Linked DNA regions of Struthio camelus. The protein of the gene in region 1 interacts with the protein of each later gene in a pairwise test. Links are inferred from orthologs where the notes say so. Each region holds a gene or a part of one and is shown on either strand. Other genes may lie near its edges. The genes, in order: GSE1 and RALBP1.

Region 1 (16,423 bases):
GACCTTGAAGAATGCTGGAAGGTGTCATGTCATCAGCATTTCCCAGCCGCTCGGAGCTGGGGGGGGATTTGTCTTCCTCCGGGGCACCCTGCCAAGAATAACAGCAGACTCCAGCAGGTCGGCACAGGAAGGGAACGGCTGGAACCTGATTTGCAGTCAGACGCGCGGAGAGCCAGAACGCGTTTTATTGAAGAGGTCTCCAGGGAGGCATAAACCTTCCCCCCCCGCCACCCCCAAGAAAAAAAAAAAAAAGAGTGCCTTTCCGATGAAGCTGTATTTTTTTATATATGTTTAAAAAAGCCTTTAAGATAAACTTGTTTTTAGTTCACGTTGCTGGCATTGATTTACTGCGGGGGTGGGAGCGGGGAGGAATGCCAAGAGGTCGGGGACGGGGCTGTCTCGGGACCCGATCCCTGATGCACCCTTATTTCGGGAGAGGCTGGCGGCCGGAGCGGGGCTGGGGGTGCCCGGAGCCCGCCAGGGTGAAGGAGCATTTTCCCCGAGGGATCAGGATTCGTCTCTGCTGACTCCAGCGGGGCGAGCGCATCCCTCCGCGACGGCTGCTTTTAGCGGAAGGCAAAGGGAGCCATCCAGGCTCGACTCCTCCCCGGGAAGGTGACATTGCCGCAGGCGAACCCTGCGCGTTTCCAGCCCGCTTTTCCCTGCCGGCTCCAGAAAGCAGGAGGCGACCTGGGTCCAGCCCAACGTCCCCGTTGTGCCCAGTGCTCCCCAGGCGGGCGGCTCTGCCCCTTCCCACGCACCGAGGCCGGCGGGTACCCGAGGGGCGCTTCGGCACAGCTGCCCCGCGCAAAATCTTTCCAACGCATGAATTTCCTTCCTCACCAGTCGGGCTGGGAAGGGACGATCGATACCTGATTCCTTCTGCAAGGAGGCATCCTGTATTTTCCAGGCTGCCTTAAAAAAAACAGCAGCAAAACAAAACCCGTCCATCACTTGGCCAAGCGAAGGCAAAGGAGAACCTTACAAACAAGCACTTCCACCAATTCTTGCAGATAAGACACCGGCAGCAGACCTTGATCTCCGGCCCCGGCAGGGAACCTGCTGAGCTCGCGAGCCCTTGGCCTGCTAATCTGCTCTCGCCGGTTCGCTAAATCCCGCAAGATGTTCCCAATAACGGGAGCAGGCGGGGCGCGCTGGCAGCCGCCGGCTTGCTTGGCGAGCTCGTCCTTGGGGACAGCTGGTACCCTTGGCTCGTCGGAGCCACGGATGAGCAGCGCTGGGCTGCGGTGGGCCGCGGGAGCCGGGGCCGCGGAGGATGCTCCGGCGCCTCGGCCGCGCTGGCCGCCCCGGGCGCTTGGCCCGCTGGCGGCCGGGCGAGCGGCAGCCAGACACCGGCGAACCGGGCCTGGCCGCCCCGCAGCTTCCCAGCTCCCTTTTAATTCCTTTCCCAGCTGCGTTGCCTCATCACCGTGACCAGCCTGTAACCGGAGCGGGTCAGCGTTCTGCTGATGGAGTGTTTTTCCATCGGGAAATGCCGATTTCTGTGGGAACATCTCAATTTTGATGAAATTTTTCTTTTGTGTGTGTGTGTGTGCGGGGGGGGGGAATACATCCAAACGGGGCCTTGCGAGGAGGTTTAGCCTCCTCCTACCACATTTCTTCTTGCACAGACACCAAAGAATCACCGTTCTGAAACTCACGGAGCGCGCTCCGGTAGAAAAGCATAAAAAGGGATAATGCAAGCCGAAAACGCACTTTAAAAACAGCCAGCCAGAAAACGTGTACAAGTCAGAATTGAGCAAACGCTGGTGCTAACCCCGAACTTTCCCCCCTTTTCGAGCGGCATCCTGGAGGAGGCTTTGCCCTTTGTTTATCTCTCCATGTTTACGCGTCTCGTGTTGCACGTTCCCATGCTGCACTACGCGGGCCTGCTCGGGCTCACCGCCCCCGGCAGCAGATAGCCGCCGATCGGCAGAGCCGACAGGGGTTTTCGGCCGGGCACGAGCCGAAGCCTCCGCCTGCGCCCGCTGGGTCGAGGGCGCCTCGCTCCCCGGGCTCCTCTGGCTGGGAGGAAAGGGCTGACTTAAAAGCTTGCCGTGGGCCAGCTCCTCTCGTGAAAAACGTGCCGGGTGCCGGCGGCCAAGCCCTGCGCCGGTGCAAAGCAGCGTAGCGCCGCTGGCCGCGGGCAGCGCGAGCCGCCGCCGCGTGCCCGGCCCCCGCGGGTGCCAGCGACCCCGAGCCGGGCAGGAGAGGGCAGCTGGCATCTTCGACCCGTGAATAACGGGCCGGGAATAGAAAGCTGAAACCAGAGACCGCGTCTTCCCGTTGCATCTTCGGCGTCAGGCGAGAGGCCGCCTTTCCTCTTGCCCCGCTGGGCCACGGCCGGTGATCGCCTAGAAATAGCTCCCGGTGCTCATGCAGCAAGACGTCGCCCGGGCTCGCTGCGGTGCCGGGGGCTGCTCCCGCTGCCGGGAAAGGCGAGCCCCCAGCCCTGCTCCAGCAAGCTCAATGCACCGGGGCGCCTTGGTCCGTGCACGGGGGGGTCCGTGGGGAGGTCCTGGGGGTGCCCGGGTGGCCCTGCAGCCCCGCGCAGCCCAGCTCAGCACCCCCCGCCGCTGCCCAGGCACGATTGCCAGGCTGGGCAAAGACAGCGAGGAAGGGAAGCTCGAGCATATGGCAGCCTGGCGTGCGGTCGGGCAAACGGCTGCCGGTTTCCTCCGGGAGGGGAGCGCCGCAGAGGACTCCTCCAGCCAGGGCTGGCCCCTCTCCAGCTCCTCTCCCTGCGCCCGAGTCTCGGTGAAACCCCGCACCGGAGCCCCTGCTCGGCTCCGGGGCTCGGCGCTCCTGGGCTGCCGCGGCAGCAGCCCCGCAGCTGAGCTGGAGCAGCGCAGGCCACCCTCTCCGGCAGGGCTCCAGCCGCCGCGGGGAGGGAGATGCTCGCAGGGCTCAGAAAACCCTCCGAGATCCCGGCGGGGAAGGTGCCAAGTCCCTGGGAGGTGGGCATGCCCCAGGGCTGCGCGCGGGAAGGACACGGGCTGCAGACTCCTCGCTCGCCCCGATCCCACCCCGGGCGATGCAGGGGCTCGGCTGGTGCTCCCAAATTTTAACTGCTTTGTAAATGTTAATATTTGCACTTACAAACCTTTTCTTCCCCCTCCCTCCCCCTCTTCTCCACCCTTTTTTAATAGCAGCCTCTAACAGCCACACTCATTCTTCTTTGTTGACACGGCCCTTTGGCATCAGCACTTGGCATTTGCAGAGCAGCTCGTTCTGGAAAGGAAAAAAAAAAACAACCTTTTTTTTTTTAAAAAAAAAAAAAAAAGCAACCCAGCCCTGGTGCCGTGCTGGGGGAATGTGGCTCCCTCCTGCCTCGCAGGGAACGGTGCCACGCCGTGAATCACCGCCTCGCCGCCGGCAGGAGCCGGGCTCTGCGCGAGCGCTGCCCACCAGCCCGCGGGGCTTCGCCCGGGGCCGTCGCTCCCCCCCTGCGAGCGGGAAGGAGCCGACGGGCGGGCTGGGCCGGCGCTGGGAGCCAGGGTGGTACGGGCGGGATTGGGCCCTGGAGAACTCGTCCTCTGGGTTTTCCTCTCTTGCAGCCCCAGTCCGGCCCCGTGATGCCAGAGAGGGCATCTTTGCCGTGGCCCGTTGGAGCCCCTTCCCAAAAATACACCAGCAACCGGCGCTGGCCAGCTGCAAGGTGGGCTGCATGGGGGTGAGCTGAGACGGGTGGTGAGAAGGTTAAACCTGACAGAGACCCATGGGGGGACCCGCAGGTGTGTCTAAGATGCTGGAGCTCCACTTTGCTTTCACATTTAGGCGTGCACACACGCATGCACGCACACATGCGCACACGCATGCACGCACACACGTGCGCCCACGCAGCTGTCCCCAGCTGGAGGTGTGACTGCGGGGCCGGGAGCTGAGCTGGCGCTGAACAGCCTCCCCGGCTCCCGTTTGTCCTCTGGCTGTTACAGGAGCAGGAATCATTTTTTTTTTTTCCTGTTTGCGCAGCGTCTCCAGAAGGGCTGCGCAGAGCCGAGCCGAGCCGAGCTGAGCCGCTCCGGCTCCGCAGCATCGCGTCCCGGCAGCGGTGCCCGGCCGGCTCCGGAGGCACGGGGACGGACCCGAGGGCTGTCCCCACCACCAGCCCATCCCGGCGCCCGGGGGCCAAGCGCGACGGGGACGCGGTGGCAGGTGCCCTGCTCCGGCTGGGGCCACCGCCAGCCGTTGCCATCGCTCTGCCTGGCTGCCCGGCCCCCTCCCAGACTCAGCTCCCTTTGCGTGGGCTGGTGCGCGCGTGAAATGCTCTTGTTTTCCAGTGAAAGCTTTCCCTCTGTTTTTTTGTTCTCTAAATTTCTTCTGTTTTTGGCAGGGGGAACTCCATCGTGCACCCCTCTCTGTGTGTGTGTTTTTTTTTTTTGGGGGGGGGATGAGAAAACGCTGACAAAGAGGAGAAAAGCTGTCTGGGCTTTTCCAGGAGAATGGTTGAAAAAAACTTTAATTAAAAAACTCATTTGAGACCCTCCAAAAATTGTCAGCCAAAGGATACGTTCTGAACGTTGCCATGAACCAGCCCTATCTTTCCCATCTGAAAAACAAGCACAAAACGAGTGCATAGATCAGCCTTTAAAAAAAAAAAAAAAAAAAAAGCACAGCTTGCAGAGAAAAATACAGCTGTTTCGCACTGAGTTCAAGGTCGCCGAACTGCAGGCCAGTCCCCGCGGTCCCGGCGCTGCCAGCCTCGTGCCGGGCAGGGGACGGGGCGGCGCTCGGGCCGCCGGCCCGTGCCTCGCTTTCGGGGGGCGAGAGGATAACCCGCCGCGGCCGTGCAATTGCTTCCTGTGCCGCGCCGACTTGGGGTTTGGGGCCCGGCCACGCGACCCCCCTGGCAGAGCTTCCCCGGCCCGCGAGCGGGTTTGGCAGCAAATCATTTCACATAGCGGAGCAGCAAAATGCTGGGGGGGGGGGTGCGCGGCGAGCATGCAGGCTCGCAGCCCCCCAGCCAGCGCCGCTCGAGCAGGCGTGAGCTGAGAAACGGGCTCTGTCCCCGGTGCCCCTCGCACGGTCCGACCCCCAGCTGCTGGGGACAGATTTCCGGGTGGGATTTGCAGGAAAAGGCCAGACGCCAGCGACGGGCGGCAGAGCAGGGCACTGGGGGGGAGCCGGCCGCGCGCAGGGCTGTTCCCGGTGGAGCTCTCCCTCCGGCAGCATCGCTCCGGGGAGCCGCGGGGACGCAGGGCGGCGGGAGCCCGCGCGCACCTAGGGGCGCCTGCTCTGCCTGCCCAGCTAATGCACGGCTGGGAGCTGACTCCTCGGAGAAACATTCCCTTTTCGAGCAGCAGACCCCGGGGAGGATTATCCCGAGGGGGTGGCTGGGGGAACAGTCACGCTGTCTCGAAGGCACTGTGTTGTTTGAAATGCTCTTTAAGGCACTTGATGACTCACAGCAACAGCTGGAAAGAATAAGCAGTTGGTAATTTCCATATTAACCTCCCGAGCCTGGAGATGGGGGATCTGCAGCATGTGCCCATTTGCCAGAGTGCAGCGCTGGTGAGGACTGCTGTGTGTGGATGGGACCAGGACTGGGTCCGGGTCTGGGTCTGGGTCTGGGTCCGGGTCCGGGTCCCGGTCCCCAGCTGGGGCTCTGGACTGATGCAATGCCGAGGAGCGCTGTGGGGCTGGGGCTGGCGCTGGGTCTAGCGCAGCCGGGCAGGGTGCGGGAGGCCGTTCGTGCAGCGCCTTGCACAACAGGCTCTGGGCTCGCAGCCCTGATGCAATCGGGTCACGTGGAGGCTCTCCCCTGCCCTCCGAGGGACGCCGGCGGGGTTCGCCGTTGCGCGACGGGTGTTTGGTGCCTGCATTGCAAACCGGAAAGGAGGTTTCAGGTGGGACGGCCAAGGCCGCCTGCCTCCGTTGCAGCGGTTTCGCCCCTGCAGCCGTCCAGCCCGGGGGCGCTCGGTGGAGCGGACCTCGCCGCCGTCCCCAGCCCCCCCAGCTCGCTTTAACGCACCAGTCTGGCGCAGAGGGAGCCGCGGCAGAAAATCCTGCGCTAGGCTCGCCCGGCTCGCCGCGCGCCCCCGGGGGACGCCTTCGCCGCCACGGCATATGTTTTCAGTTCTTGCCGAGGCCGACTTGAGAAACGCGCTCTCCCTCCCAGCCTCTCCGTTGCAAACGACGACCGCAGGGCCGAGGCGGCGCAGAATGATAAATGAGCCGCTCTGTGCAAGCGCAGCCGCGGCCCGGGAAGCCGCCCGGAGGCAGGCTGCGTGCCGGCGGGGAGCAGGGGCCGGCGGCGGTGGGGGGCGAGCCCAGCGGCGGGCCGGCGTTGGGGGCCGGGTGGGGAGGTGGGCTCCAGCGCTGCTGCGTGAACGGGCCGTGCCGCTTCCTCGCCCATCTGCGGAGCAGGCGGGAGAGCATCTGCCGGCCTCTCCGCGAGGGTCTGCTCCAGGCTGGGATGCTCGCGGGGTGCAACCGTGCAGGCTTCGGCTGGCTTCTTCCTGCAGGGACCCCAGCCTCACGCAGCACGGCCTCATCCTGCCGTGACGCACAGCCGGGCCGTGCTGCGGCGGAGGGCAGGGTGATCCCTCGCCTCTCCTTGTTCCCCGAGCCGAGCCGGGGCTTGTGACGGCGGCGGGGAAATCCCAGCCTGTACAGATAGGGCCGGTTCCTTTCTTGCCCTCGCCCTGCTGCCTAATTCTGCTCTTCTGGGAGGGAAAAAAAAAAATCTCGGATTACCACTGTGGTGCATCAAATAGGACTGGAAGGAAACAAGCTGCGTTCCTGGCCGCGACGCGTCCAGGGAAAGGGGCAGCGCCGAGAGGCTCTGAAGCGCTGCCATATGCACCTTTAGAGAACATGTGAGTCATGTCCACTCCAACACGCTCCCAACGCCCTCCGTGCATAGAGCAGCTACAACATCAGGCCTATAAATAAATAAAATACAACGAGGCCCTGCTGTCTTCTGGAAAACCCTGCAAAAGTCCCAGCTCGCCCAAGGTATCGTGTTCTCCGCTTTGTGCGTCTCCCCCCCCTCCCTACCCCCCCCTTTTCTGTCCTGCTGGAGCCATCTGCGTGGAAACTGGATCTCCAGCCCCGGAGAGTCCTTCTGCCCCCTGCTCGCGCTCCAGCTGATGTCACGCAATCTGCTTGATCTCATGGCCAGTTGCTGGGCAGCGCGTTACGCTGTCACCGGCAGCCGAGGACGGAGGTGACATCAAGGGCTGGCTGAGCCCCGCAGGGCCGAGCTGGTGGAGGTCTCGGTCCGGCCGCAGCGCAGTGACACGGTTGACGCGGCCTCACGCGGCGTCTCTGCGCTCGGCCCGGTGTGCCGATGCACGGCTCACGTGTTCGGAGCTCGGTCCCGTAACGCTCACCCCAGCTGAGGGGCCTCTCGCAGCCCCTCTCTCCCTGTGTCCTATCACAATTATTGACTTTGCCTCCTACTTGGCCCTTACATACTTTGGGTTTGATCCTGGAAGGTCCTCAGCACCCTTCAGTGAGACAGGCACATGCTCAGTGCTTTACAAGAACAGGACCGGGCGGGGGTTGGAGCGAACCATGAACTCAAAAATACCATCAGGAGCAGGCTTCCTCCTAAAACGACTGCTTGAAAATATCCTTATGGCTGATAATACCTATTTTTTATTGGGAGACCTCTGCTGAGCCTGTGGGTATGCTGACTGGATGCTTGGGTGGTTAATAAGCCAGGTTTAATTGTGGCTGGACCTCAGCACAGTTTGCACTTCCGCGGTGCCGATTGTCCAAGGACAGCAAAGTGCTTTACAAGCATTAAATCTTATCATAGGCTGCAAGGCAGGTAAGGCTATACAGGGATTATTGCATGCATCGCTGAAATGCGGCCAGCCCTGGCTGGGAACAGATCAGCTATTTACCAGTGAGTGGCAAACCGATGCAGCATTTTAGGACCAAGCGGGAAATAGAATCTGGTATTGAACTGGAACAGCAGCAGGACTTTTAAATGTGAAATAAATCACCGGGGCTGGTATTCGGTCAGGACACTGAGTTAATGTCTGGTGCGCAGCACTGTAAAGGACAGAGACATTATTGGTGTCTTCTGCAAAGCGCCACAGGATCCCTGCTGACCGCGCAGTCCCGGACGCTGCCAGCTGCAGTTGCCTTTTTGTGCTGGTTCAGGGGCAGGGGGTTTGCAAGGGGATGTGCGTGAGGGAGGTCACCCGCCGTGCGTGGGTAGCCCCGCTCGGGGGGCGGGGGGGCTTTGCCAATGCCCCTCGCGGGGTCGGTCTGTCCCCAAGTTCCCCTCGCGGGGTCGGGGGTAAATTCCCCTCGTGGGGTCGGTTGGCACAATCCCCCGCCGCCGTGGGGCCGGTTTGCACAATGCACTCCCCTTCCCACCCCCCTCGCTCCGTGGGGCCGGTCTGTCCCCCCCCCGCCCCCCCCCCACGCTGTGCGCTCCCCTCCCGCCGAGGCTGCCGGAGCCTGGCGGCCGCCTAACCGCAACTGCGGCTCCGTCCCGGCCGGCCGCCTCCCCCCGGGCAGGCGAGCCCGGCGCGGGGGGGGGCCGGGGCCGGGGAGGAGCCGGGCCGGGGGCGCCGGGGCCGCCCGCCGGCGGGGCCAGCGCGGGGCGGCGGCGGCTGCTCGCCTGCTTGCCTGCTCGCTCCGCGCCCGCCGCCGGACCCAAACTTTCTCGCAGCGAACTTTTTCTCTCTCTCTCTATTTTTTTTTTTTCCTTTCTCTCTCTTTTTTTTTTTTCCCTTTTCCTCCGCGGAGGAGCGGGAGGCGGGCGGGGGCGGGCGCGGCGGGGCGGAGAGGCGGGGGGGGGGGGGAGAGAAGCAGCGTTGCAAACCCGCCCCCCGAGCCTGCGTGTCCGGCGGAGCCGCGGGATGAGCCGGGGGCGGCGATGAGCGCGGCGGGGCCGGGGGCGGCGGCGGCGGCGCCGCTCTCCCGCAAGCAGCGGCTGATGGCCGCGCTGGCGGCCGGCGAGGGCGGCGCGGCGGCGGCGGGCGGCCCCGGGGCACCGCAGCCCCCGGCGCCGCCGCTCTGCTGCTTCATCTGCGGCGGCGGCATCAGCCGCGGCAAGGAGCTCAAGCTGCAAGTGCGGCCCCCCCGCGACCACCGGCCCTTCTTCCCCTTCCTGCAGCACCAGGAGCCGGCGCCCGGCGCCCGCGCCGTCTCGGCGGAGGGTTGCGCCCTGGTCTGCGCCGTCTGCCGCTGCTTCCTCGGCGAGCAGTGGGACTCCTTCGAGCGGAGCCGCACGCCCGTGGAGAAGCGCATGTACTGGCTCAAGCGGCCCCACCAGTGCGAGGCGGCGGCGGCGGCGGGGGGGGGCGCCGGGCTGCGGCGGGGGGCGCCGGGCTGGGACCCCGCCGCCGCGCCGCGCCGCGCCGCCGGGGACGGCGAGGAGGAGGAGGAGGGCGAGGAGGAGGAGGAGGAGGAGGAAGAGCCGGCGGCGGGCTCCGAGCTCTCCGAGCTGTCCGACGCCGAGCCGCTGTCGGAGCCCGAGGGGGCGGGCGGCGCGGCGCGGCCCCCCCCGCCACCGCCGCCGCCGCCGCCACCGGGCAAGCGGGGGCTGCCGTGCTGCTCCTCCGAGGACAGCGAGATCAACATCACCAGCGAGGAGGAGGAGGAGGAAGGCGAGCGGCCCGCTTGGGCCGCGCCGGCGGCGGGCACCGTCTGCTACATCTGCGGCAGCCCCCTGTCGCCCGCCTCGCAGCACCGGGTCCACGTGCAGAAGCAGGAGAAGACGTCGCAGGCGCCCTTCTTCCCCTTCCTCTGGCTGCACAGCCCCCCGCCGGGCGCCCAGCCCCTGTCCCCCGCCGGCAGCACCCTGGTGTGCCCCTGCTGCTTCGCCTCCCTCATGCAGCAGTGGCAAAGCTTCGAGCTGGCCAACGTGCCCGTGCTCCAGCGGCTCTACGTGGTGCCCCTCAACGGCGGTGCCGCAGGCATGCCCCCCAAGGGCAGGCGAGGGCTCAAGGAGGACGGGGCAGGCCCAGCCCCGGCGCCCGAGGCCTGCTACCTCTGCGGGGAGGAGTGCGGCAAAGAGGCGAGGCTGGTGGCCGCCAAGATCACCAACGGGAATGCCAAGAGCACCATGCATTTCCCCTTCCTCAGCCTCCTGCCTTGCCCGCCCAGCGCCAAGGGGCTGAACAAGCACTGGGAGGTGAGCAGCTGCCGGAAGTGCTACGGCGTCTTGCAGGACCTGTGGGCCATGTACAGGGCCTGCCACAACGAGGAGCTCATCACCTCGGTGCAGAGCTTCCTGGGGAGGTACCACCAGGTCTTCTCCGCCGGTGACCCCAGCGGCCTGCCCGGGCACCCCGTCATCAAGCCTGGCCCTACATCGGTCTGCTACATCTGCGGGGCCGAGCTGGGAGCCGGCAAGGAGTTCCAGCTCAACGTCAACCCGCCGGGGCGCTTTGGCGAGAAGGAGCCCTTTTTCCCCTTCCTCACGGTCTACCCGCCCGCCCCTCGGGCCAGGCCGGCGGACTCCACGGGGCTCGTGGCCACCTGCGTGCTCTGCTACCACGACCTGCTCGGGCAGTGGCTGCAGCACGAGGGCAGGAATTCCCACCACCCCAGCAGCGCCTGGTCCCGGCAGTACAAAGTGGAGACGTTCGTCTGCTTCTTCTGCCGCCAGGAGAAGAAGCGATGCCTTGGATTAAAAGCGGTGCAAGTTGCCAGGCTCCCTGTGTTCCTCTACACGCTCCGCGTGGCCAACAGCTTGCTGGTGGATGACGGGAAGCAGCTGACCATCGGCGCGTGTGCCGAGTGCGGAGCCGTGGTCCTGGCTGGCAAGACCATGACGCCCCCAGAGCTTCTGGCAGCAGCGCCCCCGGCTCTTCTCCCCAAGGTAAGGCGTTTGGCCCGGGCCCCTTCCCTCTCCTCCCGTCGTTTCCCGGACATGATGATTTTGGCATCAAGTACAATTTAGAGCGGTGCTACAGATGGATGCTCATCTTTTGAGTCGGATCCCTGGGGGCGAATGTTAATAAATGGGGTGCTGTTAGCAAGGAACTTCTGGAGCCATCAAACCGAAAAGGAGTGGAGAGAAATCCTTCCAAGAGGCTCAAGAGAGCCAAGATCTGTCCTGTTGCAAAAACACGTATCTGTATTACTGGCGCCAGCTCTTTTAGAGCCCTGGATAAAGGAGGTGGGGTTGTTTGTGATTCGAGGTGGCCAGAATGGGAAATCCTGATCTTGTACCTCTCTCAATCGTGGATAATAATAGTTGCCAGAGCAGGGGGAAGTCTGACAGGCCCCTGTGCCCTGCCAGCAGCGCTGGCCGGCCTGCCCGCGGCAGACGGGATCCTCGGGAAATTCCTCCGGCCAAAGGAGCGCGGCGCCTCCGCCGTGGAGGAAAGTTCCCAAGTTATCTTTGGTTTTATAAGGCGCCCGAGCGAAACGGTTTCCTTTAGGAGAAACTCGAGTCCTTCCTGCAGCTGGGAAGCTGGTGTGCGGGCTCCCTGAGCCGCTCCGGGCTGCCGTTGTGCGGCTGCGGGAGGGGAGCCCGGGGCAGCTTCCCGCGGCGCCGCCGAGCCTGCCTGAGCCTCTGCTCATCCGAAGCCAGCGATGAGATGTGTCCTCTGGATGCAGGGCTGGGGACCCAGGGACACGGGCTCTCGATTGCTCCGTGCTCCTTATCTGTAGGAGAGAGTAGTTCCTCCTGCCTCCTTCAAGTTGATCCGTATGTTCGAAAAAGCAGAATTTAAAGCGGACAGGTTTAATTTCCTTCAGTTCTATGTGGATGGTCTTGTCCAGACTCAGTGGTCAGTTCAGTGTCACCCGGTCGCGTCTGATTTATGTTACGGGTTATTCTTTGCTGCGCATCCCGGTGCGGACAAGCCCTGAGCTGGGTTACATGGCATGCTTCGAGGCGGGTATGTGGAAAGTCGTACAAAAGAGCAAAGAAAATTTACTCACAGCAAGTTTGTCTTTCTCATGAAACGGGGAAATTACTGCTTTTGTCCCCAGATTTCCGACTGGCAGCGGCGCAGCTCTTGGAGAGCGGATGCTCTGTATCTGCAAAGCAGGCCCCGGACTGGGCTTCATAAAATAGCAGCCTCCAAAATCCCTAAGCTCGCTTTCAAAGTCTTTCGACTCTGCCCATAGCCAGAACCCCGTGGCTCTCTCAAGCGCTGGCGTTTTCTTTAGAAATGCGAAACAGCCCTTCTGAGGCAGGCGCTCCTTTTCGCCCCCCTCACCCCTCCTCTCTCCGGGCCGCTTGCAAATGCAGTTTTCTGACCGTCGTGCTGGCTGCGGGCTCGTGGCTCGCCTGCTGGCCCGCCGGGGCAGAGCCGCGCGAGGCGGGGGGTCGGCGCGCGGCGCCGGCGGGAGGTTGGGCTGGCACCGGAGACGGGAACCGTCCGGAAGCCGTTGCTTTCAAACGGTTTCCCCCGGGCGCTCCCTTGCCGCATCAGTCCCAGCCAGTCTGACCTGACATCAATGCAGGTCATTCATGAACGCGGGCGGGTGATTTATTCGCAGGCTGGGCTGCGTGGGGAGCCCGCTTCCAACGCGTGCAACTCGCTGTGCGCGCCGCAGCGGCCGCGGGGCCGCGAGCATCCCCGCGCTGCAGCGGGGCGCTGGCGGGCTCCCTCCTCGGGGCCGCTGGCGCTTGTTACCCGTCGCTCCCGCGGGGCATACGGAGAGACGGACGTGCGGAGCCGTCCTTCGGGAAATCCCGCGCGCGCGGGGACCCCGGGCATCGCGACCCCCGCAAGGAGGTCGGTACGAGTTTAAAGGCCTCCTCTTCCACCAGAGCGCCGAGGCGAAGGTTGCAGGGTCGCCCCGCGGCCGGCTGCGTCCCCTCTGGCTGCCCGGTCCCTGTCCCCAGCCCGTGTCACGCTTCCGCCCTTGGAAGTGTCACCAGGCCAAAGGGTAGTTTGCGGTGTTGGCCAGGGAACAGGTGTTGCTGGGGTGTGTTACTGACAGGCGAACTATTTCCGAGCGCGTCCATCATCGCGCGGGCGTCAGCGGCGGACGCTCGGGTGTGCTTCCTGCGGCGTCGCGAGCTGCCACCCCGGAGCTGTGCGTTTCGCAGACATCCCGTGATGCTCCCAGGTCCAGCTCGTTAATCCGGGACCGGCCCCGGCCCCCTGCGAAAGCCGGCAGCGGGGCCGGGGACACGAGCTCCCGCTGCCCCGGTGCTGCTCCCGGCCGCCCTGTCGGATCCGCCCCGGGAGCGGCGATGGAGAAGCGTCCCCTTGGGCTCTCGCCCGTGGTCCTGCCTCAACCTCGGCCGGCTCTGAAAAGCCTTTGTGTGGGGATGCGAGCGGTGGCGGAGGAGGAGGAGGGCATCGGGGGCCGAGGAGGGAGACTATTGAATTCCTCGCTCTTGTTCCCGAGTTTGCTAATGAGCAAATTAAGGGGCCGCTCCGATGGGCGCCACGCGGCAGGAGTCGTCGCGGAGCGGCTCGCCGGCGAGTCGCTCGGGGAGGGCACGGCCGGTCCAGGCACCGTTTCGTTTCGTGCTGCTCTCCTGCGTCCCGGTGGCGACTCTCTTGGTGGCCACAAGGTCTTCTTGCCCTTTGCCTCCCTTGTCCTTACCCGCTTCCCATCAGGCTGAGACCACCCCAATGTCAAGTTTATTTAAAACATGGCTTAATGAGCTGGTAGGGCATTTGGCTAATTTAACTAATGGGAGAAGCCTATTCTCCCGCTCAGCTATATTCTCGTTCAGTGGCACTTGCTGCTGGAAGTCACCGGGACGAGCCTCTAACCCTTGGTGCAAAGCCTTTCGCGCTTCTGCTCTGCCGCGGTGCCCATTAAAACCGGACTGGGCAGGAGGGGATGGGTTAAACCCATCACCCTGTTCTTCCTTTGCAGCTCTGCAGTTTTATTTTTGGAACGCAGGTATTTCTTTCACACGCTCGGGGCGGACAGCCCCCTGCACGCGGAGGGGGTGGTTTGCCGCGGCCGGGTCTGCAGCTGAGCCAAAGCCAGTTAGCTCAAAGTTTAGGGCTCAGACCCCGTGCCAGGGTGCTGGGCAAATGCACCAACTGCCATGGCACAGCCTTCCCTTCAGCTGGGCAGCAGCAGCAGCATGCTCCTCGGGAATTTACAAAACAGCTTTGAGCAGCTAACGAGGGGAAACAACTGCTGCAGCTCGTTAGCATGGATGATGCTCAGGTGTTTTTAGGTGCGGTGGCGGCTCAGCTGCAGGTTTGGGTGTCGAGGAGCAGAGAGGTCGTGCTGTGCTCTCTGCAGAGGTGGGATCGGCTGCCTGCGGTCCTGGCCGGCGCGGGAGGGCTTTTGAGGTAAGCTCCTTGCCGGGGTGGTTTCCGTGCTCCTCGCTGGCGTGCCGCGAGCAGGAGCAATGCTGGGCAGCGCTGTGGCCGCCTGGGAGAGGAGCTGCTGCAGAAATCTGGCTGTTGCGGGCTTGTGCGGGTGGGTTTGGGCTTTTCACCTCTTTTGCTAGCAGACAGGGAGGTTGGCCAGCTCCGCAGAGAGGCAGCCAGACACTTGGGGCCCTTGTCTGTGGGCTGCGTGCCTCGTCCCTCTCTGGGTGCTGCCAGGTTTTCTCGCAGAAAACGGAGGCAGGGCGAAGCAAGGCTGTGCGGCCCCGACAGCGGACCGCAGGCTGGGGAGAGCTATCGGGAGCGTGAACACGTGCTGCCGTGAACTCTCACCAGGGGAAAGCAGGGCGAGAGCAGGGTCTGCGGGTCGCGGGAAGGATGGAGAACGTTGCCCCTGGTTCGCGCCACGTCCTGACCTAGCAGCGCTGCCGCTCCCCGGGGCGTTGGGGCTAGAGGCAGCGAGCTCTGAGCTCAGCAGGTGTCGAGGGCAATTGCACTGTGGAAACCATAAAACGCGTCCATCAAAGCGTCTGTGAGAGAAGGACACTTAGCATTGCTGAACCGGAGGGACCTGCTTGGGAGGGGAGAGGTGATAGGGTTGTTAGGCCTCTGAAATGGAGAGAGGTAGTTATGGCCCCTGGAGCAGTGAGAGGTTAAAGACAGGTGGAGCATGGGGAAAAATTATAACGTGCCGTAAAACCGCAACTTTGCGTCCCTGGTTTCTGTTCTGGTAAGGGTTGCGTAGCTGGTGGCCCCGTGGCTGGGATCAAAGGAGGGGAGCAGGTGTAGGCTGTGTCCCTCCCGTAGCAAGCTGTAAACGCCTCGGACGCAGCAGGAGGGGGGCAATCGTGTGCATATGTGACTTGGGCTATGTTTGGATCCAGTTTTTAAAACCGATAGCATGCAGGCTGCGCAGAGCCGGTCCGGGCTCTGCCTTGAACCCGAGTAAGCCCCTGGCAGAGCTGCTGGGCACCTCACTGCTGGAGCAGCGTGTTGCTAGAGCAGGGTGTAACCCAGCAGTTGCTTTTGGGGCATCGTTTGCATCTGCTTTTGCTGGCAGAGCTGCAGACCGCAAACCTTTTTGCTAGCTAGCAGAGGCAGCCCGTTGCTGGCTGCGGGGCTTACGTCGTGCCAGGGTCACCGCGCTGCGTGCCGTGCCTCCGCCGCTGGTGCGCGCACCCGTGCTGTGCACCCAGGCAAAGGCACGTCCTCCTCCGGAGCAGCCGGCCACGCTCGGGAGCGCGCAGCCGCCCTCCGTCCGGGGAGCGGGGCTCCGGCCTCCGGACGTGCCGGGGGAGGGAGGGGAGTTGTGCATGGGAAAAGCGAGTTTGGCTCGCCGGCGCTGGCAGCGGGATCGATTGTTCTCCGTGTTGTCGCTGACCGAAGCAGGTCTCGTCCCTTTGCCGCGCGTGCCAGCCCGTCACGCAGCGGATGCTGCAGCCCTGCAGAAATCCCCGGGCAGCTCGGCAGCCGGGCGCAGCCTGCCCGCTCGCCCCAGCTAAGCGCTGGCATGTCGTGACTCCCTCTCCTCTGAATAAGCAAGCAAATTTTCCTCTTTTCAGGCTGAACGGTGTCTGGAAACGGTGCCGACGGGCTTCCCAAACAGTCACTTTGCTAAAGAGGGCTCTAAAATCATGGATCCGTGTCTTCCTTCCCTTATCTAAGTGACTGCAGTGCCAGCATGCTGCGTCGCCTCTGTACTTGCACTCGCGGGTCAAGGGGATGCTCGCGCTCGATTCGTCTGGAGCTTTCTGTGGTTGCTCAAATCCTTTCTCTCTGCCAAGATTTAAACAGGGAAAATCCTCCCCTGGCTTCCCTTGTTTTCCCATGTTTGATTGCCACCCTTTCACTGCAGTGACACACCCCTAAGAGGCATCTGCGTTTTTTTTTTTTTTTTTAAATGCAACTTTTTGCAAGCATGTTCGCATTTCTGGACTGCTCTGAAATCCTGCTGTATCTCAAGTCAGGCTGTTCTTGCTACCTTCAGATGCTGCTTGGTGACTCACTGAATTTGCAGCTGGTGACCTCTCTCCTCAGCAGCGCCCAGACCTCACTGCAGGCTTTGCTGTCTGATCTCCATCCCCGCATCCTTGCCCTCGACAGGTTTCTCGGTGTTGTGCAGTGGCGGCGCGGAGGCGTTTTGTCTCCTCTAGCTAATGACGCATGCAGGTGTCCTCTGGAGGAGAAGT
Region 2 (15,375 bases), on another chromosome or scaffold:
ATGATGTCAAGTCAAAGGAATAGCGTGGGTGGATAACTGGAGGGTAGAAGAGACTCTTCTAATAAATGTCCAGGAAAAATTGTGGGGAAACAGCTTCAAAATTTGATAACTTTGTGTAATGGGCCTGAAAGTAGGTAGTGAGGATGCACACTTTCTGAGGCTTGCCTTATTTTTGTAATTCTCGATGCTGTTTAGAGTTTGCTGTAAGCGTTGTATGTATGCAAACGTCATACAGCAACATCAAACGTATTTTATTATTACGAGTGTTTTAAGAGGTATTTTAATAAAAAGACATTGGTCTATGTGGTTTCCTTCTCATGATTTTCTCAGAGCAAAAGTTACTAGGAAGCATATTATAAAAGGACCATTGTTACTGTTCTGGACTGATAGAATAACACAGAGAATTTTTACCTTTTTATAGTAGTCTCTTCCGAATCTAAAATTGTCGTCGGCTCTTAATAGTTTTTCCTTCAGATAAATCAGTAAAGAAGAACTTGCTTAATAGTGAAAAAGATTTTTCTGAGAGGAATTAATCATTTTGGACGGTTGTGCATTTAGTCCTAATTCATGTTGCAAGGAAAATCGTAAGTTATTTTTGGGGCTCTTATTGTGCTTAGGCCTGGAGATGAGCAAACCATCACCTGCATATGCGCTTTAAATAACTTAAGGACATGCTTAAAAAACTTTCAGCTAGAATCTTATCTAAGTAAAGCATTGGTCAGTTTTTTATCACTATCCTTCCTGACACAATTGGAAATCACTAAACGTAAAGGGAAGCAAAAAAGGGAGTGCCTGTAATAGGGAATTACACAAATCTCTGCAGTCTGTTGGGGTTCTGTCTGAGAAGGGGTTGAATGCCTTTTGTTATTCTTTCCCTAAAAGTAGAGAAATACATAAAAAGTTCTAGTTCCTTCACCTTTGCATTCTGAAAACTTCAGAAATGCATGTCATTCTGGAAATAGTGATGTAATACAAAAGGGAATTAACTCAGTTGTCACTGTAGAATGAAATCAGAGGCATAGAAGACAGCCTAGGACAGCACCTGGCCCTCCCAGCAGGCTGCTGTGACAACATGATGGGAACTGGAGGGAACTACAGGCAATTCCTCTAGTTGCAGGCCGTCCTGCCCTTCTTGCCATTAAGACTGAAGCCATACTGATCAGAGGATGATGAGATCTCTAGCAGAAGTACAAAGCAGAGTGCAGTGTAGACTCTTTTTTCAGCTGCTGTGAATTAGAACACCTTTAGGACAGGTTCTTTGTTAAGGCCTAGGAGGAAAAGAAGAAAAGTCACCTTTCCTGGAACACTAGTTGCTGGGCTAAGTCTTCACAGACGGCAGCATGAAATTGGAAATAGAGAGACCTTAATGCAATCGATGCATCTCAGGCATGCTTTCTCTAACTCCTAGGATCAGCCTTTTGGCTGATTCACACTGATGTACCTCACTGGCTGCTCCCAAAATTATACCAAGGTACAACAGCAGAGGTAGGCTATAGTGCCTGTATTTTGATTCTGTGAGCCCAGAAACAATGCCACTGCACATCAGAGAAAGTGTACTAAGGGATTCTGAAGTTCCTGTCAGTCTTTGTCAGGGCATAACAGTTCTTTGAGGATGTGAGCTTTGTAAATCTGGAAACTCACCTTCCTGACGCTTTTTTGCAGCTGTCGTACTGAAGTGTTTTTTCTCACAGGCACTTGTTGCTCCCAGATTTCAGAAGAACCGATGCCCTGCAGAGAGGGTGAGTGAGTGATATGGTCATAATGTGACATTGATTTCATGGGATTTCTTAGGCTTCCTAGCATGCTTTTAATAAATCCAGTAGATTTTATATCTGGTATTTCAAAAATGGTTATGAGGGCACCTGCTCATATTTCTAATAACAGCCACTAGTTCATTCAGCGACTGGCCTGCTCACAGTCACTTCCTGTTGTTTTTTTCTGGACGCGTTACTATGTTAAGAGGTGTGCCAAAACTGATAACCTGATAAGAGGCGAGGCTGCCACAGTTCCAGGTTCCCATGTCCAGCCAGCAGCAAGGCTGAGCACATGTTCCCAGTAGGCATACACGTAAACACACGTATACAACACATGCACACAGCCGGCCACAGTGACCAACACAGACAGAAGCACTCAGCAGTTACACGAATGGCACCAACAGCCTCATCCTGTTCCCTGCTTCAGGATGAAGGTCCATTATGGGAAATCTATATACATATACACATAGTATGGATTCTGCAGTAGCTGGCCTTGGATGCTCATTCTGCCTAGTAACTGGTCCTGGCTCCCAGGTGTCCCCAGTTGCTGGCACCTGGGCAGGTCAAGGCCCTCAACCCCACTCGCACACACCAACACCTGCACAGGCACACTCACATGCTCCAGATCCTCTTGGTAATTGGCCTTAGATGCTCAGTCAAGCCTGTAGCTGGCCCTGGATCCTCTTGTTTCTAGTTGCCATACAAATGGGTCTATCAATCAACCCCCGGACCTGCTGTCTCCCCAGTAGTTGACTTGGACATCCTGGTGCCTCCGGTAGCCAACTCGCAGTTCCTCTGGTTTCTGTCTGCCTTCCCAAGCCACTTACCCTGCCACCGGCTAGTCCGGCTTGACGTTGGCTCACAATCACACGCCAACGTGCAGACCCACACCATATGCACACGCTCCGGTGTCTGAAGTGTGGCACTCGAGAGACACGCAGCCCCTGTGACTCGTGGCCCCGCTGTGGTGGCACTCAGGCCTCCATGCACACACTGAATAGAGCCCCCTCACACAGGAAGAGAGCTAGAAATAGAATTTATGGAGCAGACAGGACAGAGTGGTGGTGAGGCACAGGGCATGGCCAGACAAGCGTAGTGCAACCTGTTTGCACCTGTCCAGCCCCTTTTATCTCCTTATCCCACTATTTTCCCACACTTGTTCCTCCCCAAACCACTTTGATCCCTCCTTCTCCCCTCCTGTGGTCCTCCTCCTAAACATCATATAGGAATTTTTGTACAACCCCTAGACAGTCCTCCCTGCAGGCCATACCGAGTCCCACGCCCCCAGCAGACGCTCTCTCTCACAGAGCTGCTCCTCATGGTTAAGGGTCCCCCTGGCCCCAGGGCTCCTTTCTCTGACTGGTTTATTGTGATTCCCCCACCTGCCATCGTGCCTCAGTGCTCTTTCGTGCTTGCGTCAACAAGTCTTTTATCACATAACCTAACATATTAGTGATTATAATGTCTATTGGGGTTTAAAAAAAAAAAAAAAAAAAAAAAAAAGCTTGTCCTGAGATTTCCCACTAGGTGCGACAGTGTTGATGGATGAGTTCTTGGCGTGATCTGTTTGACCAAGTACTATGTAGTTAAAGTATACTTAGAAACAAGACATTGGAAGGAACAAAGTCTTTTTCAAACAAATCTAGCTAAGAAGGCTGCCAAGGTCCAGTTTTTTAATATCCTTTCACTGCATATGTCTTTTTAAATTTTCTTCTTACAACAAAGATCTGCGAATAGTGTGATTCCGTAGTGCTAATTGGAGTTGTAAAGGCAGAGCTCAGTATAGCGAACTGATTTTTTATCATATCGCTCTTCTGGCTCTGTTCTCTCCTGTTATGTGATACTTCCTATGAATAACTTAGCTTTTTGAAGATTTTAACTAATCTATTTCTTCTGCACTTTCCTTGGTGTATTCAAGCTGTCATTGTTTTGCATGCATGTTTTCATATGTGGCCGGCCAGTGTCTTTCATCAGCTATACCTCTTTATGACTGCTGTGTATTTCTTTATGGCTGATGAGAATTAAGCAGTGTGTCTACCTGTGGTTTGCCCACCAGGGTAGACAATTTAATAGAATCTAATGTGCTAAAGTTATCACAGAATAGTACAGCCCATTTAGACTCCCATCTCTCAAAGGGTTTTGAGTGAACACTTCTCATCGTGTCCTCTCCCCATTCAAAAGAAGTTGCTGTGCAGACAGGAGTGAAAGAAAGAGAGGGCCATAGGGGGAGCAGGCCCTTCTTCTTTCCAGTTCTGCCACACACAGACTTTCCTCATCTTTATGGAAACAAGTCTTCCATTATGATATCCTCTCAATTCAAATATGTGCTTGGTCAACAAAGGAAAGTTGGAGGTGTCTATAATAAAATGACTGTGCTCCCTTTGGCCTTTAGTCATGAAGTTGAATTGATCTCTGGAAGATATCTATTATTTACCACTTCATACATAGCTCTTTCAGTTTTATGAGCAAGAAGGACAGTGCTCAGTGTCATAGGGAGTCCATCTGTGGTACCAGCAGATGTAACTACATGGACTAAAGGAGGTTTTTTTTTAACTTTGAGTAAACCTGGAAGTTGAGATATTAAAATGGTTTCTCAGGCACTATTTCAGACTGCCAAATAGAAGATGTACCCACTATCTTTCACTAATAAAAAGACAAACTTAACCCAAAACTGGCTTTCTTGAAGCAGTCACAGCTTACACAGCTCTGCTTTTTTTCCTTTTTTTCTAAAATGCTTTCTAGACCACCACTCCATTATTATTTTGTAACATTTATGAGGCTCAGGTACAGAAGCAAGACTGAATTTCAAAGCAGAGAGTTTGTCATCTTAGAATCCTTGCTTGACTTTGTCCTTAAAACAGCAAGAATTTATGAAGAGTGAATGTAAGGAGGTGTAGGGCGTAAGAATGTGTCTCAGTCTGCGTAAGCAGGCCTCGGACCACAATGAGGTTTCTGAAGTTTAAAATTACCCAATTGTATTTCATATGGCAGCAAGCTGGTCCAGTACTGCACACAATTACTTGTTTGTTTTCAGCAAAAAATGGAGGAAGATTCATTCTCTGTTTATCAGCTGATGGGCCTAGTGTTTGTGAGCTTATGTTAACAACAGCCTCTGATACTACTTACTCTTTGGAGTTGAGAGCCTCTAGTGACTATCACTTCAAGTGGAGACCCTTACAGGCAATCATCTCAAATTACTATAGATGTTACTAAAGAAACCATTCCCTCCTTTTGCCAAAAATAATACAGCCTTTGTGTAACAAAAACCATTAGCTGTGATGTTAAGTTAAATAAAACAGTAAGTACTTGCCTTTAAACTGTTCCTTCTGGGAGGGAGGAGGGAAACTGAGAGTTGCATGATTATGTAATATGCTGTGGAGACAATATCTCTGTGCTCCAACACTAATCAGAGTGTTTACAACCCTCCCTTTTGTATTTTCTACTGAATAGCACAAATTCCTGTGGGGGACCTTTTACATTACCACAGAAGGTTGCACAAAGAACCCATTTGACAAGGACTAAGGAGCATTGAATCTCAAGTGAATAAACGAAGCAGGTGGCACACTGCCACAGTATTAATGTGTCCAATAGCTTAGGGATTATGTTTGAGGCTGTGGGAATGAACTGGTCTGCTTCTTACTGGAACAAATTCCCTTGTTGATTAGGAATCCTGAAAAGGATTCAAGATATGCAGGTGCTTAACATAATCAGAAACTTGTATGGTAAGAGACAAAGAATACAAAATTCTTTTAATATCACTATAAACAGGATGCGAGTTGAGCTGGAGATGTGTTTCTTGGCACAGATCACCTCCTCGAGTCACAGAGTATTTCTCCAATTTCTTGTATGCCACAAAGACAAACTGGTAATGATGCAAGCTCAAATCTGTTGCACAAGATGAAGCCAAAGTAGATGGCTGCTCTCTTTTGCATTGTAAACATGGAAGTCGATAGCAATGTTATTGAGAAAGCAGGCTGGATGTAAACAGCTACAGAGCTGTGTCAGCTCTTGCATTTGTGTTCCGTGTCTTTCAACGTTTGTTGACTTTCCACTGTTAAAAATTTTAAGGGGTTTATCTCACAACAGGTTTAGTCGTAGACTACTTGATGAATCGTTCCCAATGCTTATGTTTCTCGTAAAACTGCTCAAAGAAGCAGATTTTTGTTCCTGTCTGGTTAGGGCGCCTTCGGTGAACTTTATGAAGTTTTTCCGTCATTGAAACAAGAGTGCTGAAGGGGTCACTCCGGGGACCCCCTTCAGCGGTGCTCCACTCAGCCCTTGGCCCCAAAGTGCCTCGCTGCCTGCAGCTGGGACCAGCTCCCCTCGCACCCCGGTCGCAGGGCTTCCAGGTGAACCTCGGCCTTCCGCCTCCCTCCCAGGACGCCACCGGCTGCTTGCCAGAGGAGCTCTCTCCCCCGGCAGGGCCCACAGCTGCCGCAGGCCAGGGTCCTGCACCACAGAGCACGGCAGCCCCCACGACCGACGAGGGCCGGAAAGCCATCGAGGCAGGAGCCTCTTGTGCCCCCGCAACAGCCTGCGCTCCCTCAGCGCAGCGCTCGCGGGAGTTGAAGAACGAGCGAGGCCGACAGCACGGCCGCGCCTCGAACCTCGAAGCCGCCTAACACGCGGCTGCCGCCTTCCACCCCGCGAGGTCGCTGGGAGTTGTAGTCCGACGCCCGCAAAGCGACCGGCTACCCCTTCCCCTGGGTTCCGCCGAGGGAACTACAATACCCGGCAAGCCCCGCCCGCCCGGGGGAAGCGCGGCAGGGGAGGGACATGACGGGCGTCTCCTTCCCTGCCCCGTCTCGTCTCCCCGCCCTCCTATTGCGCGTGCGCAGAGCGCCTCTTCCGGGGTGGTGTCCCCGCGCGGGCCCGGCGCCCTTCCCCCAACGCTACAGCGCACGCGCCCTACTTCTCCCCCCCCCCCCCCGCGCTGGCTCCCCCCGCCTCCGGCCTGGGCAGCTTTGCGCCTGCGCGAGCCTCTGCCCCGCGCCGCGGAGGAGGTGGCGGCGGCGGCGCATGCGCGCTGGGGAAGCTCGCGCCGCTGCTGAGCCGTCCTTGCGGGCCGGGCGGCGGAGGCGGAATGGGGCACGAGGCGGGGCCCCGCGCGTGAGGCCGAGGCGGAGCCGCCGCGCCGGCGAGCCGGACCCCGACGGTTAGTGCTCCGATGGGGGGAGGGAAGGGGGGCGGAGGCGGGAGCCTCCAGCCCGGCCGCCTTCGTTTCCCGGTGAAGGGCGAGGAGGAAGCCACTTCCGGGCTGGTGGGGGGATAACGAGTGGCGGGGAGCCTGCCCCCGCCCCCGGCAACGGCCGCCCGGGGGGGGAGGGAGGGGCAGCCTCAAGGCCTCCCCAGCCGGCAGGCGCCCCGGGTGAGGGGCGGCGGGGTCGCCGGCTCTTCCCTGCCCGCAGACGCCGCCTTCTCACCTGGCCGGTCCGGAGGGCAGCAGCGTGGGCTGCGCTGCCCGAGGAGCCGTCCCCGCCGGCGGGGGGAGGGAGGGGTGGTCGGTCCCCGGCTGGGGGCTTCCCCCTTGAGAGCTCTGGGGTAAGGCGGCTGAGCTGCTGGGCGTGCGTGCCCCAGTGGAGGAGCGGGGTAGTGCTGGGGACGGAGACCATGTGTCCCAGCCCTGTCTTGTCTCCTGTCTTACTGCTCAGGAGAGGGATCTGGTCCTTAGGCTTTCTCTGATGACATTCTTTTCGCTCGTGTCCTTAATGAGAATGAGCATTGTGCATCCCTGGGTGGATGTCAGGCTCCTCCTGTGCCGTATTTTCTTATTACCTTAATCTCATGCTCCAAAGCATGTGTCAGATTTGCTGTCGCTCAGGCTGAGATTAGAGGTGTTCTAGGTTACATCCTCGGTTTCTATGAGTTTTTTTTTTTTATTATTATTCATTTACCTTCAGCTGGAGGTTACATCTTTAAAAGTAGAAAACTCTTACTCTCATTGACATCATTATAGTTTTGCACCTAGTATGCTCAGCAAGGTCCAAGCATGCTGTGTTTGCTTGCCTCATGATGTTGTTTAGAAAATGTGTACATCATGTACCATTGCATCATACATGAGTAAAAAAGTAGCTCTTCCCTTAAGCGCTTAAGTATCTTAAGACAAACCATAATGAAAATACCAAGAAACCACAGTGATAATTTGAAAGTATCTCTTCCCGAGAATGTTTTGGTTTCAGTTTGTTTTCTGTTGTCCCTAAGGTTTATGGTCATCCTCAACGAAGAATAACAATCAGGAATAACTGGCTAGGACCTTTTTACAAGTTGCATAAAATAGATGGATTTGTGCAAGTCTTTTGTTCCAGTATAGCAAAACAGCAATATTTGCCTTCTCACATCTATTTCTCACCTGGAAAGCTCTTGAAGCACCTACTATTGTAAATGTTCAACATCGCTGTAATGCAGTGTAATTCAAGGGTGATATTAAGGCTATGTTTGGTCTGATTGTAGATAGATATGACTTTATTACCAAATTTTAAAGAGTCCATTTGATTTCATTTTTGATATAATTTGAAATGTTGCATGCAACTTCTGATGAATGATGCCATACAACAACTTATAATTCATTTTGATATAGTCCTATGCAATCAGTGTGGCACGTACTCGTGGAGGGCTCTTTTCTGCAGAGGAGTAAAAAGTGGGGAAGAAAAGCTTCCGAACAGTTATGTTTTTGAATGTTTATTACTTCGAGGTGTTTGAAATGTGCTGAAAATATGCTGTAATATTGTAGGTAATTATGTCCATAGTAGGGTGTTTATTATGGAAGAGCAGGGAACTGTAAGTTTCCTGTTCTAGGGATCTCTTCTCTATCACTCTGGGAAAATAATTTCTGTTCTTTAGTTTTGCTGTATCTGAAATGGAAATAGAAGATTGGAATAGCTGCTTCAGACTTTTAAGAATTCAACTGCAATTCTGGCATCATTCTTTCTTAATTAAATGTGGTTTTTTTCTTTGTGGGGCTGGAGGATTTTGTTTTGGGGTGTTTTTTTATTTGTTGTTTGTAAAATTTTCACTTGTAAAACCACTGGTGCAGTTGTACTTAGATGCAGTAGAAAGATTTCTTGTATCGCGTAGCTTATTTCCCTCCCTGTATGTGCATGTCCATACTGGAATATGTTGTCTTTGTATTGCAATAACTGTATTATCGCTTCAGTGCTGTATTGCTTAGTTCTGTAGGTGTAGTTAAAGCAAAAGTGATGTGCATGTGTACTGTATGTTAACACTTTAGGATTGTGATCTTAGTCGTATCTTCTAGGCACTTCCCTAGTATGATTTGTCTGTATTTTCTTACAACAAAGGCTTAGATGTTTTCTGAGTAAACAGTGCTGTTTCTGACAAGCTATTTCAGACTGATATGAACAACGCTGCCGTGTAAAAATACGGACAAATGCAAACTTATTTTCCTTCTTTAAAAGTTGATGTCATGTAACTGGTATCTAAATGTCAAAATATAGTATGACTTATTTCTTCATTTAACTGTATGGTTAGTATAACCTACTAAGCTTTACTCTGGACTAATGCGTCTAAGAATATTTTGAACCAGTGAATCACTCGCTACCCTTAAAACTAGCCGTGGTTCACCATGTGCCTACTTCAGACTTTCACCTGAAGAATCCATCAGTTGTTCTGTTCACCGGTACCTTGGACACCATAGTTCGGAAATCGTTGATCAAAAAGAGAAGATCCTGCCTTTGGGCTGGATATAGCCTGGGGGAGTCCTGCACTTAGGCTGCATCGCCCAACTGGATGGTGTTGAAAGATGATTACTGTCCAAATAGCAGTTCTCTCCCGCCTGCCGTGGCCCAAACCAGAAAGGTGAGCGTGCAGGTTGCTTTTGGAAAAAGGAAGGGTATGACTCTTTTCCCTTCCCTGCATATCCTCCCCCTGGCAGCCCATCAACCCTGTTGAGCATGGCTTCAGCAAATACACAGTTAGTTGAAGCTGTGAGGGGACTATGGAGTGAAAGAGCCCTCCAGCACGCCTTCATCTCGTACGTTGAGTAGCACCACCACCACCACCACCACGCACGCTTTTCTTTAGGCTGTAGTAGATGGGCACATACCGCAGAAGCTAGTTGAAAGGAGGGGGTGGCAGTTTACATGGAGAAGTTGCTAGAAAGGGCTATGGGGAGCAATATATATAATTGCTTAAGTGAGGGTAGGACTGGTGATCCAGTCAAAGCGTAGTTTATGGTGTTCTCACTAGGTAGTGTACTAGGCAAAATTGTTTTATGTAGGATTCATAAAGAAAGTATTGTGACAGTTTTTGAACTGGTAGGGAAAAAATTGCAGAAAAGATTATAATAATTAAAGTATAGTGGCTTCAGTGCTTTAGATATTTTGTTAGGAAGATCAAAAAAGTTAATACCTGTATAAAATATGGCTGAACAAAAACACTTGAGAAATGTAATTCACGTTCTTGGTTTCATTTATTATTACTTGTGCAATGAAAAGGGGGAAGGCATATTTTTCTTGCCTAACCTATGAATTTCAAGTAGGTATGGGAGACTGACATCTCCTAATTCAAAAATGTGAGATGGTAATGTTTAAGAGCTGTCAGTTCACCACCTACTAGTAGTGAACTACTTTGGTAAGTAAAGAAGACATGTTTAAATAGAGGACGTGGTTTGGTATTTTTTCCTTATGTTGCTTAGATAACACTGAGCAAACAAAAATACAGATAGTAAGCGTTTATATTCTTCAGCAATTCCCAGTTTGTTCCAGAAGCATCTTAACATAATACACTGAATAAAAAATAAGCAACTAATAGTCTAATAAAAGAGTGCTCACCAAATAATAGTTATGTCGATCTGAATAAGTGTAGGGAGCTATTTAACAGCTTGAATGGATGACTATGGTATACATCCCAGTTAAAAAAGAGGTTAGTAGAGACAATGTTATATTGAGTTTTAAATAATCAAATTCAGTGTTGCTGCTTTTTATGTGCAGAATTAAATCAGGTAACGGTTCTGATATAATAATGATTGAAAAAAGTGATTTAAGTCGCTGCATCCTCACTGGCCTGCCCCTAATAATTACCATTAATCGTCTGTCTTTTTGTTTTAAGTGCTGAGAAAACGAGAAAGAAATGCAGACCCTAAGCAATCAATTCCAGTAGGAGAGTTCTTAAAAAGTAGGATTAGAGTTTTTACTGTTACAGATGAATTTATGGTGTGACCCTGTAGGCAATCCTTGGCTTGCTTCTATCCAGGTCACTGCCTTTCCTGGAGGAAACAGGGGATGGTTTAATGATTCTCACCAAGTACAACCCAATGCAAAGTACAAAGCTGAGGAAGACAATGTATGTGTGTGTAGAGATGCACTATTGTATCTGCTGGGGAATGTGCTTTTGCCTAACTGTAGTTGCTGACCTCTACTTCAAAGGGGCAGCTTTGGCACTAGTAGCAGCAGATTTCTCCTTTCCACACTGCCTTCCCTATTATCTTTCTTGCTCACAAGATGTTGAGCTTTTTTAGACTGGCTATTTTAGTCTCTGGAGACATAAAAGGAAAGAAAGGGAAGAGTGATGGCTGCTTGCATGAGGTGGGAAGAGGCCAGATGGCTGTTACAGAGGAAGCATGAGGAGTAAGTCTGTGCCAAGGTTTGAAATTCTGAATCAGAATGCAAGTTTGAACCAAACTGGAAATTATTGTAAGTAGAATAAATTTAGTTTTAAGGTGACTGTTTTATAGATAAGATGTGAATAACTGTTCGCTCAAGTCAGTTCATATATGAACATAAATATAAACATATGAACATGTGTTCATAAACATAAGCAGTTCATATAAAATACAGGAAGGTTTCACTTTTGTCCTCTATAATATGAAATCTCTCGTGTTTCTGTGTATATGATCTAGGTTAAGTCAGCGTATGAAGCTTGCTACCTCTTTCACAGTTTCAGTGGGATCACTGGGCTTTTGTATAGAGAATAATTGAGCTTCTTGCTAGAAGAAAGACATCCGGTGGGAAGGAATTCATCGGACTGCACATAGTCCTGTGGTGCTACCAGGCCTTGAGCTGGATAAATGTTTTTTTTTTAAAAACACAATATATTACAGTAGTACTGTTTACTGTGGAAAAAGAGCTATCACAATGACAAAAAATTACCGCTTCCCTTTTTCACAAAAATTGAATTAAGACTTCTGGAAGAACTTCAGTTCTCTTTAAAACCATACCTAACTTTTTAGAATAGGAGTTACACATAAGAGCAAGAAACTGTAATTTTATGTCTCTTGCTGTAATCGTTCTTGTGAACTTTAACATTTAACTTATCCTTGTAATTAGACTGATTGCTTTTTTTAACAGTTCTAGCCCACCCATATGTGTTTTTAAATATGAACATCTCCACTCAAAAAACAGAAATTTGTGGTATGCTACAGTGAAAAAAATTTTTCACTGGCTGTTATTAGCATAAATTCTGTTGAATGGAAATTGAAAATTCTAAAATTAAACACTCCAGCAATGAAGCTCTCGTTTCATGGTGTTAGTAGAGTTTTTCCATCGTATTACTTTGGAAATCCATAGTTCCTGCTTATTTTTTCCTTTTTGCAATACGGTACTTTTAATTATTATTGAGTATCTTTGTTTAAGAAAGCTTGATGAAAGACAATTTAGTTGTCAGACATTTTCCTATATTTGTAATAATCCAACTCCAATATATTTTAATATTGTGAACCAGCTGATATACAGGCATAATGCCAGTCTTTACAAAATCTGAAATATCTTGTTTTAACTGGACATGAGAAAAAGGTATTCTTTTGTTTGCTCCCTTACTCTTCTAAAAAATTTTTGGTAGTGGTTGCTTGAGAAGTGATACTATAATTTTAAGATAGGCTAAAGAGCTCTTCATGAATATTATTATTTTCTTTTTAATTTATTGAATAGACCAAAAATATAAGATCTTACAGAAGAAACATCCAATGGAATAGATTTACCCAGAAACTCTTTGGATTATTTCAGCCTAGTGATTTCAACTTTTCTTGTTCTTTAGATGTTTTAATCTTTACAATTTGTTTAGGTGTTGTACTACTGTAAGCTAACATCAGATAGGATGATCTTTCACAGAAGAAGGGTGATGCTTCTGAAATTTTAATCCTGAAAATTTGAGTTTGTAGTTCTCCAAAATTCATATAACCCAAACCCTGCAATCAAGTGGTTTTCATCTGTCTTATTTTGAAAATGATTTAGAAGTTGTTGGGGGAAATGAAGTGCAACTTTCAAAATGAAAGAGGAAGTGTTGAATATACAGAGTTCTTATTTTGTTGTCGGTGTGGTTCAGTAAATTAATGCAACTCTCACACTGAGATGTGGATTCAGATCAAAGTTCCTTGACAAAGTGAATTGGGACAGCTAATTTTTTGGAAGTAACTATATCGCAAATGTCTTAGACTATGCCAAGATTTGTATTCTCTACCAAAAAAAAAAAAAAACACCCTGAGAAGTTTTAATGTCGTTACCTGTAATATTCCTTTTGCATGTTGACAGTTTTGTGAGGACCTGATGTTAATTTTTCTATTGTGGTTTGACTTTATCTTAGGTTGCGAGTTCTTTATGAATGCTTTTTCAGTCTGACTTTGAACGCATCTAAAACATACGGAAGCATATGTCATAGAAGTTTGCAGTTAGTGTGTATCATTACAACAGTCAGATTATCTTGCCAGCAGGCTGGCCAACCTGGCAAAGAGGGCTTTAAACTAGGAATGACAGGAGAGGGAGAGAACGATCAACAGTCAAATAAGGAAGTAATGGATGGTGTTGGCCGGGGGGCCAAACTCTCCTCAGTGGTGCCCAGCGACAGGACGAGAAGCAATGGGCAGAGGCTGAAACACTGGACACTTCACCTGAACACGAGAAAACACTGTTTTGCTGTGAGGATGTTTGAACGTTGGAAGAGGCTGCCCAGAGAGGCTGTGGAGTCTCCATCCTTGGAGCTATTCAGAACCTGCCTGGACAGGGTCCTGGGCAACCTGCTCTAGCTGAGCCTGCTTGAGCAGGGGCTGTTGGACCAAATGGTCTTCAGAGGTGCCTTCCATCCCCAACTGTTTTGCATCTCTGCTTTTGTTACAGAGGCGTGTTTTTAACATTTAATTACACTGATACCTGGGTTATTCCTGGAATCATTCATGTGTCTAGAACAAAACTATTTTGTTCTAGATATTCTAGGGCTTCTGTTAAATTAATTGCACTAATTTTGTTAAAAACAGCTTGACTCTCCTTGTGTAGACAAGGCTGCAAAACAGATTTGGGAATGGTAGTCAAAACTTGCTGGGTCCTGTGATGTCCAGTACTGAGCTTTTTGGCCACAGGCAGATCATACACAGTTTTAATGTCTATCTGTGTTATTATTTCATTTGTTTTTATTATTTTAGTAATTAAATTGATAAAAGTAATTGTTGTGCATTTCATAGCATATGGATGGGTTTTTTTCTAATGATGTTTTGCTTTGAAGCCATAAGATTACCAAAAATTGCTGCATTGGGCTACATGATGACTTAAAGCTTGATTTGGGAAATGTACGTGAACTTAATCTGAAATTCTTAAGATATTTATACATTTTTTGTAGAAAGCTGATGTTTCACATAAATTTCCTTGTAAGGCTGTGTTGCGATGTAAATTGGCATAAGGTTAAATATTGTGAACTTCTGGTTGTTTGTAGGGTACTGCTGCTATATCAGTTCATCACTTGTTAAATGATACCCAAATCCTTCCAAAGTAAGCATCATACACTTTTTGTCCATCTTTAGTTTTATTTCTTTTGTTAGGAAATGAAATAGCAACCAAAAGTACCTCAGCTTAATGCTTTCTCTCCAAACTTTGTTTCCAAGTTCTTCCTCGCAACCTTTCTACTAGGAAGTCCCAGCCTCCTTTTTCTGTCTGTGAAGGTTAAGTGAATTCTACACGGTAACTTAAGATGTAGAATTCTTTTACTTATATTATCTTTAATGTGAGGAAAAACAAACAACCTCAAATCAGACATACAAGCTGTATAAAACTCTACTTATCTTTTGCTGACGCAGAACATTCTTGATAAGTAATGGAAATAGAATTGAAGGGGGAAATCAGTAGGGTCAGTACATAATGTAACTGAGTAATCCTCTTGTGCTTCCCCTGAAAAAGCCTCTGTTGACCACAGAGGGTGGATTCCGTACTTTCTAGCCGTTCACTATAGAGGAAAACTGTGCAGACCAGCTGCTACCCTGAAGCTGGGTGGTGCAACACCTTGCCTTGTGTATTTGTGAATGTTTTCAGTGTTCGCATTCAAGAAGCTTGCAACATCTCTGCCCTGGAGGTGGTAGTGTTCATCATAATTAATAATCTACTGAGCTTATATATATTTAAATGAACTTTCCCTCTGGGTATAGAGCGAATCTGGGGCAGAGGTGGAAAACAGAATTTATGATTCCCAATTCTGGGGAAAAAAAACCTAAAATTTACAAAAAGGCTAAGTTCTTCGTGTAGTCTTGATGAAGATTTGCCATTGATGTTAATGGAAATATGCCTGAGCAGAGGAGATCATACAGTCTTATTATTGTATGCAGCTCATAGACCATAGTCAAAAGAGTTTTACTTTTGTGTAGCATGATTTTGACAGACATCTGTATCTCTGCCAGCAGATTCCATTG

What was found.
Region 2: the proteins of GSE1 (region 1) and RALBP1 interact in binary tests that used the Homo sapiens proteins (3 or more experiments, as listed by UniProt). The link is inferred for Struthio camelus from reciprocal best matches to the Homo sapiens genes GSE1 and RALBP1.

What each region holds. Positions count from the first base shown.
Region 1 is NC_090951.1:3,434,675-3,451,097, forward strand, and holds the start of GSE1 (genetic suppressor element 1), read left to right. Parts: upstream 1-8,839; coding exon 8,840-10,789; intron 10,790-16,423.
Region 2 is NC_090943.1:116,293,071-116,308,445, reverse strand, and holds the start of RALBP1 (ralA-binding protein 1), read left to right. Parts: upstream 1-6,699; 5' UTR 6,700-6,909; intron 6,910-15,375. UniProt on the Homo sapiens protein: Multifunctional protein that functions as a downstream effector of RALA and RALB. As a GTPase-activating protein/GAP can inactivate CDC42 and RAC1 by stimulating their GTPase activity.